Linked DNA regions of Mus musculus. The protein of the gene in region 2 interacts with the protein of the main gene of each other region in a biochemical or structural test. Links are inferred from orthologs where the notes say so. Each region holds a gene or a part of one and is shown on either strand. Other genes may lie near its edges. The genes, in order: Ubd, Mad2l1 and Rev3l.

What was found.
Region 1: the proteins of Mad2l1 (region 2) and Ubd form a complex in vitro, tested with the Homo sapiens proteins (2 studies listed by BioGRID). The link is inferred for Mus musculus from reciprocal best matches to the Homo sapiens genes MAD2L1 and UBD.
Region 3: the proteins of Mad2l1 (region 2) and Rev3l form a complex in vitro, tested with the Homo sapiens proteins (2 studies listed by BioGRID). The link is inferred for Mus musculus from reciprocal best matches to the Homo sapiens genes MAD2L1 and REV3L.

The regions. Positions count from the first base shown.
Region 1 is NC_000083.6:37,192,823-37,196,578, reverse strand, and holds Ubd (ubiquitin D), read right to left. Parts: upstream 2,688-3,756; 5' UTR 2,628-2,687; coding exon 2,607-2,627; intron 1,334-2,606; coding exon 866-1,333; 3' UTR 478-865; downstream 1-477. UniProt on the Homo sapiens protein: Ubiquitin-like protein modifier which can be covalently attached to target proteins and subsequently leads to their degradation by the 26S proteasome, in a NUB1-dependent manner.
Region 2 is NC_000072.6:66,538,077-66,541,619, forward strand, and holds the end of Mad2l1 (mitotic spindle assembly checkpoint protein MAD2A), read left to right. Parts: intron 1-888; coding exon 889-992; intron 993-1,694; coding exon 1,695-1,867; 3' UTR 1,868-1,874; exon of another isoform or gene 1,875-2,349; 3' UTR 2,350-3,031; downstream 3,032-3,543. UniProt on the Homo sapiens protein: Component of the spindle-assembly checkpoint that prevents the onset of anaphase until all chromosomes are properly aligned at the metaphase plate.
Region 3 is NC_000076.6:39,829,551-39,833,206, forward strand, and holds part of Rev3l (DNA polymerase zeta catalytic subunit), read left to right. Parts: intron 1-1,348; coding exon 1,349-1,431; intron 1,432-2,967; coding exon 2,968-3,093; intron 3,094-3,656. UniProt on the Homo sapiens protein: Catalytic subunit of the DNA polymerase zeta complex, an error-prone polymerase specialized in translesion DNA synthesis (TLS). Lacks an intrinsic 3'-5' exonuclease activity and thus has no proofreading function.

The DNA.
Region 1 (3,756 bases), on a different chromosome or scaffold from region 2:
CTCTCAGTAAGGAGGGAAGCAGGATGCAGGAGGGGGTCAGATGCACTCTGAGGAGACTTTGTACCAGCCCTGAAGAATCCACCTGGAGATAAGATGATGAGCACCCTGGTGCTGACCTTTATTTTTTTCTCCAGGCTTACAAAAGACCTTAAAAAATTCCATGACCTCGCCCATCAGGTGGAGTCTCTCTCGGGTTAACAAAGAAGTTATGGGCCCCACCTTACAGAGATCTCTTCCAGAAACAAGACATGGTTTCCATTCTTGGGGAGCCAGTCCAGCTAATGCAAACCTAGCCAGGTCACCATGCCCACTACAGAACGTCAAAGAATGTCTGCAAATAATAGGCAATTGTGCTGGCCCTGGTTAAACTGGGACTCCCATCTGCCGGATAGGATAAGGCTCTTCCCCTTCCTTGCCCACCCGACACGTGGAGAGGGTGTTAGGTTTTATTTCATACCAAATATCTTTAAGAAGATGATGACTGAATTTAAATAATTTATTAGACTATGATCCAGTTATGGTAAACAATCATATTCCATAACACATTCTTTCTCTATACTCTATAATTAAAATTCAATTTGGTTCAACAATCATTCATTGATCCACCTTCCCCTGCATCCCAAGTCCTGGAATTAAGTTTGCACCACCACACCTGACTAAAGGTTCAGCTTTTGCCCTCATCAACAACCCTGCGAATGAACTATGTTAGAAACAAGATTCACAGACTTGACAAATACTTTTAATCTACTCCACTTCCCTCAAATATTTATTTCATTCTCGTTAATTTTTTATATCATCAAGAGATGTGATTGGTAATAGCTCAGAGGAAATCGGCTTTGAGCTTCTCATCACCGCATCCCCGTGGTCATCCCCCAGTGCAGTGTGTTGTCAGAAAGAGCAAACTGCCACTCTTGATGTTGTAGTCAGCCATGATCTTTCCATCTTCCAGCTTCTTTCCGTTGCAATTCACAACCTGCTTCTTAGGGATCACAGAGGTCACACTCTCGATCATCTCTTTCACCTGGGCCACTGAGCTGGATCTTCGAACTCGGAGGAGGTGCCTTTGCCCCTCGTTTTTGGACTCCACCAGAAACAAGGGCAGCTCTTCATCACTGGGCTTCACCACCTTCAGGGTAAGGTGGATAGTGGTTTCCTTGTCAATCCCATAGGATGACAATTTTCGATGGGGCTTGAGGATTTTGGAGTCTAGCAGAAGGATCTGGTCCTGTACAGAGACCTTGGTTTGGGACCTAATATGTTCATTTATCTTCTTCACTTTGTCATTCTCAGTGGTCTCAAAGGTCATTAACCGCCATTGGTCTGAACGGACAACCTAGGCAAAGAAAGCCAAGAGCGTCATCTAAGAACGCCTGCCACCCTCTACCCCCTACTCCTCAGCTTCACTGTTCTCCTGGTTGGCCCTCTGGCTCCTTCTCAACAGTCTGCATCTCTCCCTCTCTTGCAACTTTTGATTCCTACATCATAACCCAAATCAGAACATCGGCTTCGTGAAACTATAGGGCTTCAAACGTTGTATACAGATCCCTAAGCAAACCCAAAGAGGATTTCCAAGATTTGGCAGCCTCACAGAATGCTCTCAGCCATGACTCACCCTCTGTGACTAATTCAGAAAGAACCCTAGTTAAGACATAGTCTCTACACTGCTGCGTTCTTATTAATGTTCCCGTCCATTTCTGGTAATGTCCATGTTGTGGTGATGCTGTGCTTAATGGTGTTAATGTGTATCTCTTGTATTTTATATCCATTGATATAGAACATAATATCCTTTTTAAATTAGACCAGGATCCCATTCACAGAAGACAAAAACTATATCTGAGTTTAACTTCATTTACTGAAGAATTAAGTTAGGGAAGAATCAGGCCTGTAAACTTTATGAAAACTTCCTCATACTCCATTCAAGGAACCTTCCCAACCTAGATATTCCATATTCTTCTTCAGTTTTGTCTTGTATTGGACATTGCCCTAATTGCACATTCTTTACATTGGAGCATAACCTGTTTAAGGTAATGTGTTAGTTATGTCACCAATAACAAGAAAAACAAGTTTTATGAAGTTTTCCTTTGAAAAGAGAGAGACGCTTAAGGCTGAGAACTCTGTAAGTTATTTTCCTAATTTCACATCTTGCCAGCCTCATGAAGCAAAGTGTCCTACCATTTCTCCTAAGTGGGGATGGCAAAAATGGCTCAGCTGTTTAAATAAATAACAAATAAGTAAATCAATCAATCAATCAGTCAGTCAATAAAATCTCTTGCTGCCAAGCCTCACCTTTAAGCTTGATCCCTAGAACCTATGTGGTGAAGAGAGAGAACTGACTCCTGAAGGTTATCTTCTGGCTCTGACCCACCATATACATGCACACATATAATAAATAAAATATTTTAAAAGTTTAATAAGTCAAATGACCAACCTCTCTTCAGAGTACCCTCTTCCTATTGTGCAGTTATCAATGTCTGCCTTTTCTCCTAAATGTTTCTCACCCAACTGCCTCACCTTCTAGACCACTGTCCCCTCCCAAGTTGTGGAACTGTACCCCCAATACATGGAAATACTTTTCCTTCCCATTCGTTTACCAAACCCCAACTTACACAGGTGCGGACAGAAGCCATGTCTGTAGTCAGAGGCTGAATAAGAAAAGAGTCCTTGTGTCTGCTTATATGTGAGTAGCTGGGTTGGAAATCCCCAAGTTCAATGTGTTGTCCAGTTTAGCAGCAACCTTTGTTCTCAATAATTCCTTTCACTTTTGCTGGGGTAGAGTTCATAATGGACACTGTTTGTACACAGATTTCTCCCCTTAGCCAATCTATCTGTATTCCTAGTTCTGTGCATAGAATAGTCATTCTAAGATAGGAATTTTGCCCAGGCTGAAAATCCCCCTACCTTCTCCCAATCCTGCCTTAGTTCTGCCCAGCTACTACTAATCTTCCACTAGCTAGCTTGATAATTTGTGATGCTTGCTTACCCTCCCTCACTGCCTAAATGAGCCTGGACTGCAGCTGTGACTTGGTGTCCTGGGGTAGGGTACCGCTTGCTACATACATTATGTTGTAAAAATATGTTCCCCTCTTTTAATATAGGTTAACATAGAAGGCCATTCCTGGTGTCTCCCCAGCATATAGAACCTTGCTTATAAAGTCTTTAAACACACACACATACAAACACACACACACTTACTTTGGATTCTTGGTTCTTGAACCTCTAATACATTTCCCAACCTGACTCAGAATCTGCAAACCAAACATACTACTTGAGAACAATCCAAAATCAACAGTTAAATTCTGACTCCTACCTTTCTCCATATGTGCACCACAGTTCCTGGATTCCCACCCCCACCCCCTTGGCTCTCAGATGCCTCCTCTCCCTGAGGCCAGAGACATGTGATGGTGCTATTCCCTCACTGTTGAAAGTTGGTTGAATGAGACCAAGATTGTGACTGAGCTGTCTCCTCAAGAAACCTGATACTCCTAATATTCCAAGTTTGACATTGGCTTCTGAGGTAGGACACTCCATGAAACTAATTTTCAAAATTGTTTATTAAACAGCTTCAGGGGTTCTCCCCCCCCCCCAAAGAACTCTGTAAATTTTCCAAATTATTCCTCTTGTTTTCTGTACTTGAAGTGGCTATGTACTCATCCACTGAAAAACCTTTTTTTCTTTTTTTGATCATGTTTTCCCCTCCCCCAATTCCTCCCAAATCTTCCTTCTCACCTCCCTACCCGCCCAACTTTACGTTCTTTC
Region 2 (3,543 bases):
TGGGAAAACCCCATGAGATTAGGCCTTCGTGTTTGTGGTTATACCTGAACCTCTCACAATATAATATATGTGGGCCATGTAATCACTGGCTTAAACGTACAGGAGATGATCCTAGACTCATTCCTAATTTAGATGAAGCTCTACTGTACTTCCCCTATTGCCGTGAACTTTGTAAACTAAAGATTGCAAGCACTCTACATCAGAAATGCCTATCATGCTAAGCATGTGCTTCTGGAAGGTACTGTAATGAAGAGCAGTTTGTTTCTGAAGTCTTCAATCTATAGGAAGTCGTTAGCTTATAAAAACATTTGTATGTAATTTATTTTACCTGATTCAATCAGGAATCCGGTATTTAGATGTTACCTTTAAAAAAAAAAGTCAAAATTTAGGCTGGAGAAATGGCTCAGTGGTTGGGAGCACTGGCTACTTTTCTAGAGGACCCAGGTTCAGTTTCCAGCAGCCACATGGCAGCCCACAACTCTGTTTAACTCCAGTTTCAGGGGATCCCCGGCAACAGGTATGCATGTGGTGCACATAAATGTGCATGTGGGCAAAATACCAAAGTTCTACCAAGTTAATTTGTTGGAATCCATTTTCCTTTATGTTAAAGACTTACTGAAAATATGCTTACTGAGAGTGGTTGGGAAACTTACCATGCACAGAAGGACCAGATACTAAGATCAGCCTTAAAGAATGATGGGAAGGACAGATACAGTAACCCAAGAATATCTTTAGCCATTAATCTTTAGTCTCCTAATGTATTGCATCTGTGTTGTTGGAAGCATTTTGTTCAGAGAGAGTTACCAACGTGTTTTAATTAACTTAATGAAACCTAGAAGGAGTTATTTCTTTGATTTTTTTTTTTTTTTTTTTTTTTTTTTTTTATAGTGTTCGTAGAGAAAAGTCCCAGAAAGCCATACAGGATGAAATTCGCTCAGTGATTAGACAGATTACAGCTACTGTGACATTTCTGCCACTGTTGGAAGTTTCTTGTAAGTATTGTACAACTTAACTTAAATTTGCTGGAGAAAATGTTCATTACCGTTAGGAGGAGCCTACATTTGTTAAATCTCTTAATTTATCATTGCCTTGTAACATAAATGGGATATGGGAAGCAGAATACAGCACAAATAAAAACATGCATATCTGAAAACTGTGGAGACAAGGACTGGGGGGATGGCTCAGTGGTTAAATACTTGCTGAGCAACTGTAAGGACCTGAGTTAGGATTCCCATCACCAGGATCCTCCAGATGGTTGTGATGGCTCACCTATAACTCCAGCCAGAGAGGCAGGAATAGGCTCATCAGAGCAATCTGGCTCCCAGAACTATCCACGTTGGCCAGCTCTCGGTCTGCTTCGTCAATAAAGTGAAAGCACAGCTGTTAATTTGGAGACTCCGCCTGTGTGTTCATACATACACACTCAAGAAAATGAAGAAAAACATGAAAACCCTAAAAAACAGAAGTATACAACAATACTTTTGAAATTTTTCTCACAGTTTTACTACTTTTATTTTCTACTAGGAAGTATAATGCTCCGTTCTACACCCAGTTTCTATCAAGTAAAAGATTCATTAGACCAGGCTAAGCTACCTTTCTAGCAAGAGGTGGTTCAAAGTGAGGCCCAGTGAGAGAGAGGCAGGGAGGAGACTTCACTATTGAACAGCTTTCCTTTACTCCCATTCCCAACGTAGGTTCCTTTGATCTGCTGATTTACACTGACAAAGACTTGGTGGTACCTGAAAAGTGGGAAGAATCGGGACCGCAATTTATTACCAATTGTGAAGAAGTCCGTCTACGCTCATTTACAACCACAATCCATAAAGTGAATAGTATGGTGGCCTACAAAACCCCTGTCAATGACTGACGAGACGGTGAGGAAAAGGATGGAATTGTCATTCCCAAGTGTGCTTTTCCAGAAATTAAGTCAAATAGAGTTGCTACATTTCCTTGTTTAATTTTCCGGTGAAGAAAGCTAAGATCCGACATTGATAAATGTGTGTTATTGTTCCATTTCTTGGGTTCTTCCTGGACTTGTCTGAGTCGACAAGAGTGCTGCACATTGTTAAGGGGAATCAACAGATTTTGTTAGCATTGTGGAATGAATTCCTTTAAAAATGGTCATTGTACATAGAAAAACTTCTGTTAAAACGCTAACTACTTCCCTTAACATTGTAACTGGACCAGGATATAAAGAAGCGTTTAAATGTAAACACAGCAGAAGGGATCAAAGCTTTTTTAGTTCTGAGGGTCAGTCAGGAATGTTGCCAATCCGGATCCAGTGAGAGAGGCAGGGAGGACAGCTTTACTATTCAAAAGTTCTGTACTTTACTCTCATTCCCAACTTAGGTTCGTTTGGTCTGCTGATTTACACTGACAAAGATTTGGTGGTGCCTGAAACGAGGGAAGAATCAGGACCCCAGTTTATTACCAGTTCTGAAGAAATCCGTCTACACTGATTTACAACCACAAGCCACAAAGGGAATAGTATTGTGGCCTACAAAACCCCATCAATGAAGAGACGGTACACATACCATCCCCCATCACATTATACCTTCTGCTGTATTTATATTTAGATGCTTCTTTATATCTTGGTCAAGATTCTTCTGAGCAAAATCATTAGACAAAGTATTTAGCTTTTTAAAAGAAGTTTTTCTACCTACAGTGACCATTGTTAAAGGAATCCATCCCACAGTGAATCTGTTGGCTCCCTTAATAACGTGTAGCACTCTTGCTGATTCTGTGGTAAGTTCAGGAAGAACCCACGAAATGCAGCAGTAAGACACATTTCTCTTTATATAGACCCCATATTGAAATACATGCTAATTATTTGATTTTGTTGTATATATCTTGAGCTCACAAAGCAGTTGATGCTGTTTAATTTCTGTAATAAAGAACTCTTATTTTAATGTTTTATAAAAATCAAGCTTTAAAAGTCAGTGATACAAAAAAATTAAGCCTTGTGTTTTAAATTTGTGTTACAGTATCTTTGATATTTAGTTTGGTGCTAATATAGTCAGATACTTCAGTGGATTGAGTGGATGGATTGTGTTCATTTTGATTATGTGATGGGGATGGTTTTGTGCACTGGAAATTCAGATGCTGATTGCTGTGCTCAGAGATCTTGTTGTAATCTGGATATTGGCAGTTGCAGTCCTTGTTATAATAGTAGGCCAGGCCAGCATAGCCGGGTCAGAACACATGAGAACACTGCCCAGTTAGCACAAGAAGCTTGTAATAAAAATACCATGTCTGTATCATTTATTTGGGAACAAGGGTGGTACAGAAAAGCCTCCAAAATTACTTTTACATTTTGTAGGGCTTTATTAACCAATCAGACATGGTGGAAACCAATCTTTACACATTGAGCTAGGTGATGCTTCAAATACCATGACAATGCCAACTTCCAGACTGCAACCAGATCTCAGCATAGCACACAGTCCACAAGACCATCCCCAAACAACTACGTACCACCTTTTTCATCACAACAGTACAGTTAATGTGAAGACGCAAATGCCCTCTGAAATTAGTTCAAATATTAGG
Region 3 (3,656 bases), on a different chromosome or scaffold from region 2:
TGCATTCACCACCATCTCACCTCATGTGCCCCGTGAGTAGTTACAGGTACATCTGATCTTTCAGTCCACCCCACCCCGTCCATCTCTCTCTCTGTCTCTCTCTGTCTCTCTGTCTCTCTCTCTCTCTCTGTCTCTGTCTCTCTCTCTCAGTGAATAGTACTATGACCCCGTCAGTCACCAGAGTCAGACACAATATATATGTAGCACCACCTGATTGTCTTGGTAAGCACCTTGATTTTCAATCCATTACCAAGTTCTTTCATTTTATCTCTGCCACCACAACCTTATGTGGCTTATTATCATCTCTGGCCTAAGTGTCTACAGGCCTTCTTAGACACTCTCGGTGCATGGCAATCAGAAGAAATAATTTATGTGTACCTACTACACATATTTCAGTTCAAAGACACCAAGCTTTAATTAGATAGATATAAATTCTCAATTAGTTCCTCCCTCACTCAGAATTTGGTTTGTAGGAAATTCAGTTGCATACAGACAACTGCAGTCCAAAAATACTCTTATAATACTCTGTAAGTACATGATCCATAAGTTTTAAGTCATGTGCTATTTTGAATATCATGAAATATGAACCATCTCTTTGTCTGATGTATGCATTCTATCCATGATACCCTTTTTCATCATTTAGTAGTTGTCTCAGTACTCCATCCAACTGTTGTGGGATTGGAGCACTCATGTTCAAATAGCCTTTATTTTACTTCATGGCTCTGGAGCATAGAAGTAATGGTGCTGACCATTTATAGATTCATAGATGCCAAGGGGAACAGGAAAACACAGTCTTTTTGAAACAGTGGGGAAAATAAGAATGTTTGAGAAAGAGCTAACATGCATGTAACTTATTAGAGTATATTATAATTCTGTTTTATTACTGGGTTTGTTAATCTTACTGGGCCTAGTTTATGAATTAAAAGCTATTATTATGGGGGTAGGTAGGTAGAGCAAAACAGTGTAAACAGAAGCCAGAGGTTCCAGAACAATCAGCACAGATAAGGGAAACTGTTGTCATTTCACTTCCATATACAATTCTTTCTAGAATACAAAAGAAACTATGTCACTCCCTCCTCATCAGAAACACATGATAAATGAGTGAATTAGCCCCAAGAGTAATGACTAAGTTTTCTAGCTCAGTAGTAAAACATAAATGTGCTTATTTTAAAATGTAGAAGTATGAAGTATTTTGTAGAAATTGGAGGTTTTAATTTCATTTTAAAATTATGAAATCTGAAAAAATGCATATAGCAGTATTCACAAATGATATTTGATTGAAACAACAAAATTTGCTTTAAGAAAGAGAAGCAGATGTACAAGTTAAAAATGAAATTTCTTTCTACAGAACCAAAAACCCAGAAGTTGTATAATAAGAAAGGAAGTGATGCTGATGGTCTCAGGAGAGTTCTCCTGACAACGCAAGTGGAGGTAACTGTGCCAGACACCTACAGCTCAGTGCAAGGCCAAGTCTGCGCTTCAGAGCTCTCTGTGTACTAACTTAATGTGTATTATTTTTGCCATCATTATTTACACATCTTTGAGAAAAATCTAGTTTTTTATTGTTGGGATAGAAAAGATTCTTATGTGTAAATGCAAATATTCCAGAGACAGTGACTATGACAGCCAGAATGTAGGTTATGCCGATACATATACATTAGCTGGTAACAGCATCAGAGCATCTTATCACAGCAGAGCTTAAGGAATGGTTCAGTTGCTTGAGTTGGTGTTCTGTTGTTTGGTTTTGTTTTGTTTTGTTTTTGAAACAGGATTTCTCTGTGTAATAGAGCCCCAGCTGTCCTGGAACTCATTCTGTAGACCAGGCTAGCCTCAAACGAGCAGAGATTCACCTGCCTCCGTCTCCCAAGTACTGGGATTAAAGGCGTGTACGCCCACCACCTGACTAAATAAGTGATTTTTTTTTTTAAATCTCAACAAAAATATATTTTTTTCTTTGGGTTTTTTCCCAAATATTACTTAATTTTTAATTTTCTTCACCAAGTTACAAAAGAAAGCAGCATTATGTATTATTGAAGTTGAGGAATTATAACTGTCCTTATTCAAATACTAAAGATATGATAGTTCTTAATTGAGAAGTATGAAAGCAGTAGTCAGGTAGAACTTCTATACATATTAGACATTATCTTTGGAAATAAATGACAGAAACCACTTCCATATTATCTACTACTCAGAAAGGTCATTACATATAAGATGTATTTTTATACTGAGGCTATACTACAAACTTTGATTTATAAAGGTTTTGAATTATAACCTATTGATATTAAAAACAAGTAGCAGTGCATTGTAAACATAAGTCAACATGTTACATAAAATGGTTAATCTACTTAAATAGCATAAGAGGTATTTTAAGAACAGAGAGAGCTGGATATGGTTGGTCACACATGTAATCCCAGCATTGGGGAGTCTGAGACAGGGATCACCATGAGTACTAGGCCAATCTGGGCAGTAGCATGAGACATGGCTAACAAAAGAGGGGGGGGGCAGCAAGAAAAGAAGAAAATTGTAAAAGAAATAGGAAGTGTCTATTCTAAATGCTTGAAAGCTTTTCTCCAATATGTGTAGAGTGGGGTAAGGTGCACCATTTGCAAATGTTAGCCAAGCAGTTGTAAATGTTAAATACTTGATGTTCTTTCAAGAAAGGTCAAGGTCCATATCCATGTAGTGATGTAGTGTAAATGATATAAGTATATGTGAGCTCTGCCTGACCACTGCTTTCAGGATTGGGGCTTGTCAATCAGGGTTTGTTTATAGATTGCATCCTATTCTACAGTTACTAAAATAAAATGAATGTTAATAAACTTTTTCTTAAACTTAAAGAGAATCTTTATGTTTATCATGTTCATTATTTATTACTAAGTACATAAAATGTTTAAGCAAGAATAATCCAAAGAAAGAATGGTTGCTTATGCCCTTTCTGAATGTGCCTTTTTTTTTTTTTTTAAATAGAATCAGTTTGCGGCAGTAAATACTCCAAAGAAAGAAACTTCTCAGATTGATGGACCGTCCTTAAACAATACCTACGGTTTCAAAGTCAGCATACAGAACTTACAGGAGGCAAAGGCTTTACACGAGGTAAAACTGCAGCTTTAAGGCTGCACACACTATGCTTAGTTAGCAGGATTTGTCCATAGGACAAGGATGGAAATGTTTAACCAGAAAGGGATATATTAAATTCTCTTTGTTGATCTCCATCTTGCTATTCTACTGTACTTGTGTAAAACAGAAAAAAGTAAATATTGACCAGTTACTGAGATTGATTTATATTCTCACATTTTTGCAAAATTAATAACTAAAATTTAGTTTATAGAAATTAAATTAGAAAATATTTTGAAATTTTAGAATTATGTATACAAGTCTTCTCTTTACCCTTAATACATGTTCATTCTTCCTAATTAAATTGGTTGTTTTGTTTTACTTGGCTATAGGACAGAGGTTTTTCCCTTAAAGTTTTTGTGTTTACTAAGTTAAATGTGTGCTAATTATTAACAATAAAACCTATAGGATATAAGTTTCTAAGAAAACATTCTGGGGCATGGGGATGCTTAGAAGATGGCTCAGTCACTGAGATGCTTGCTGCTTCAGATCCTAGCGCCCACCTGTGAGTCTTGGGTATGGCAATGTGTGTGTAGTGCCCC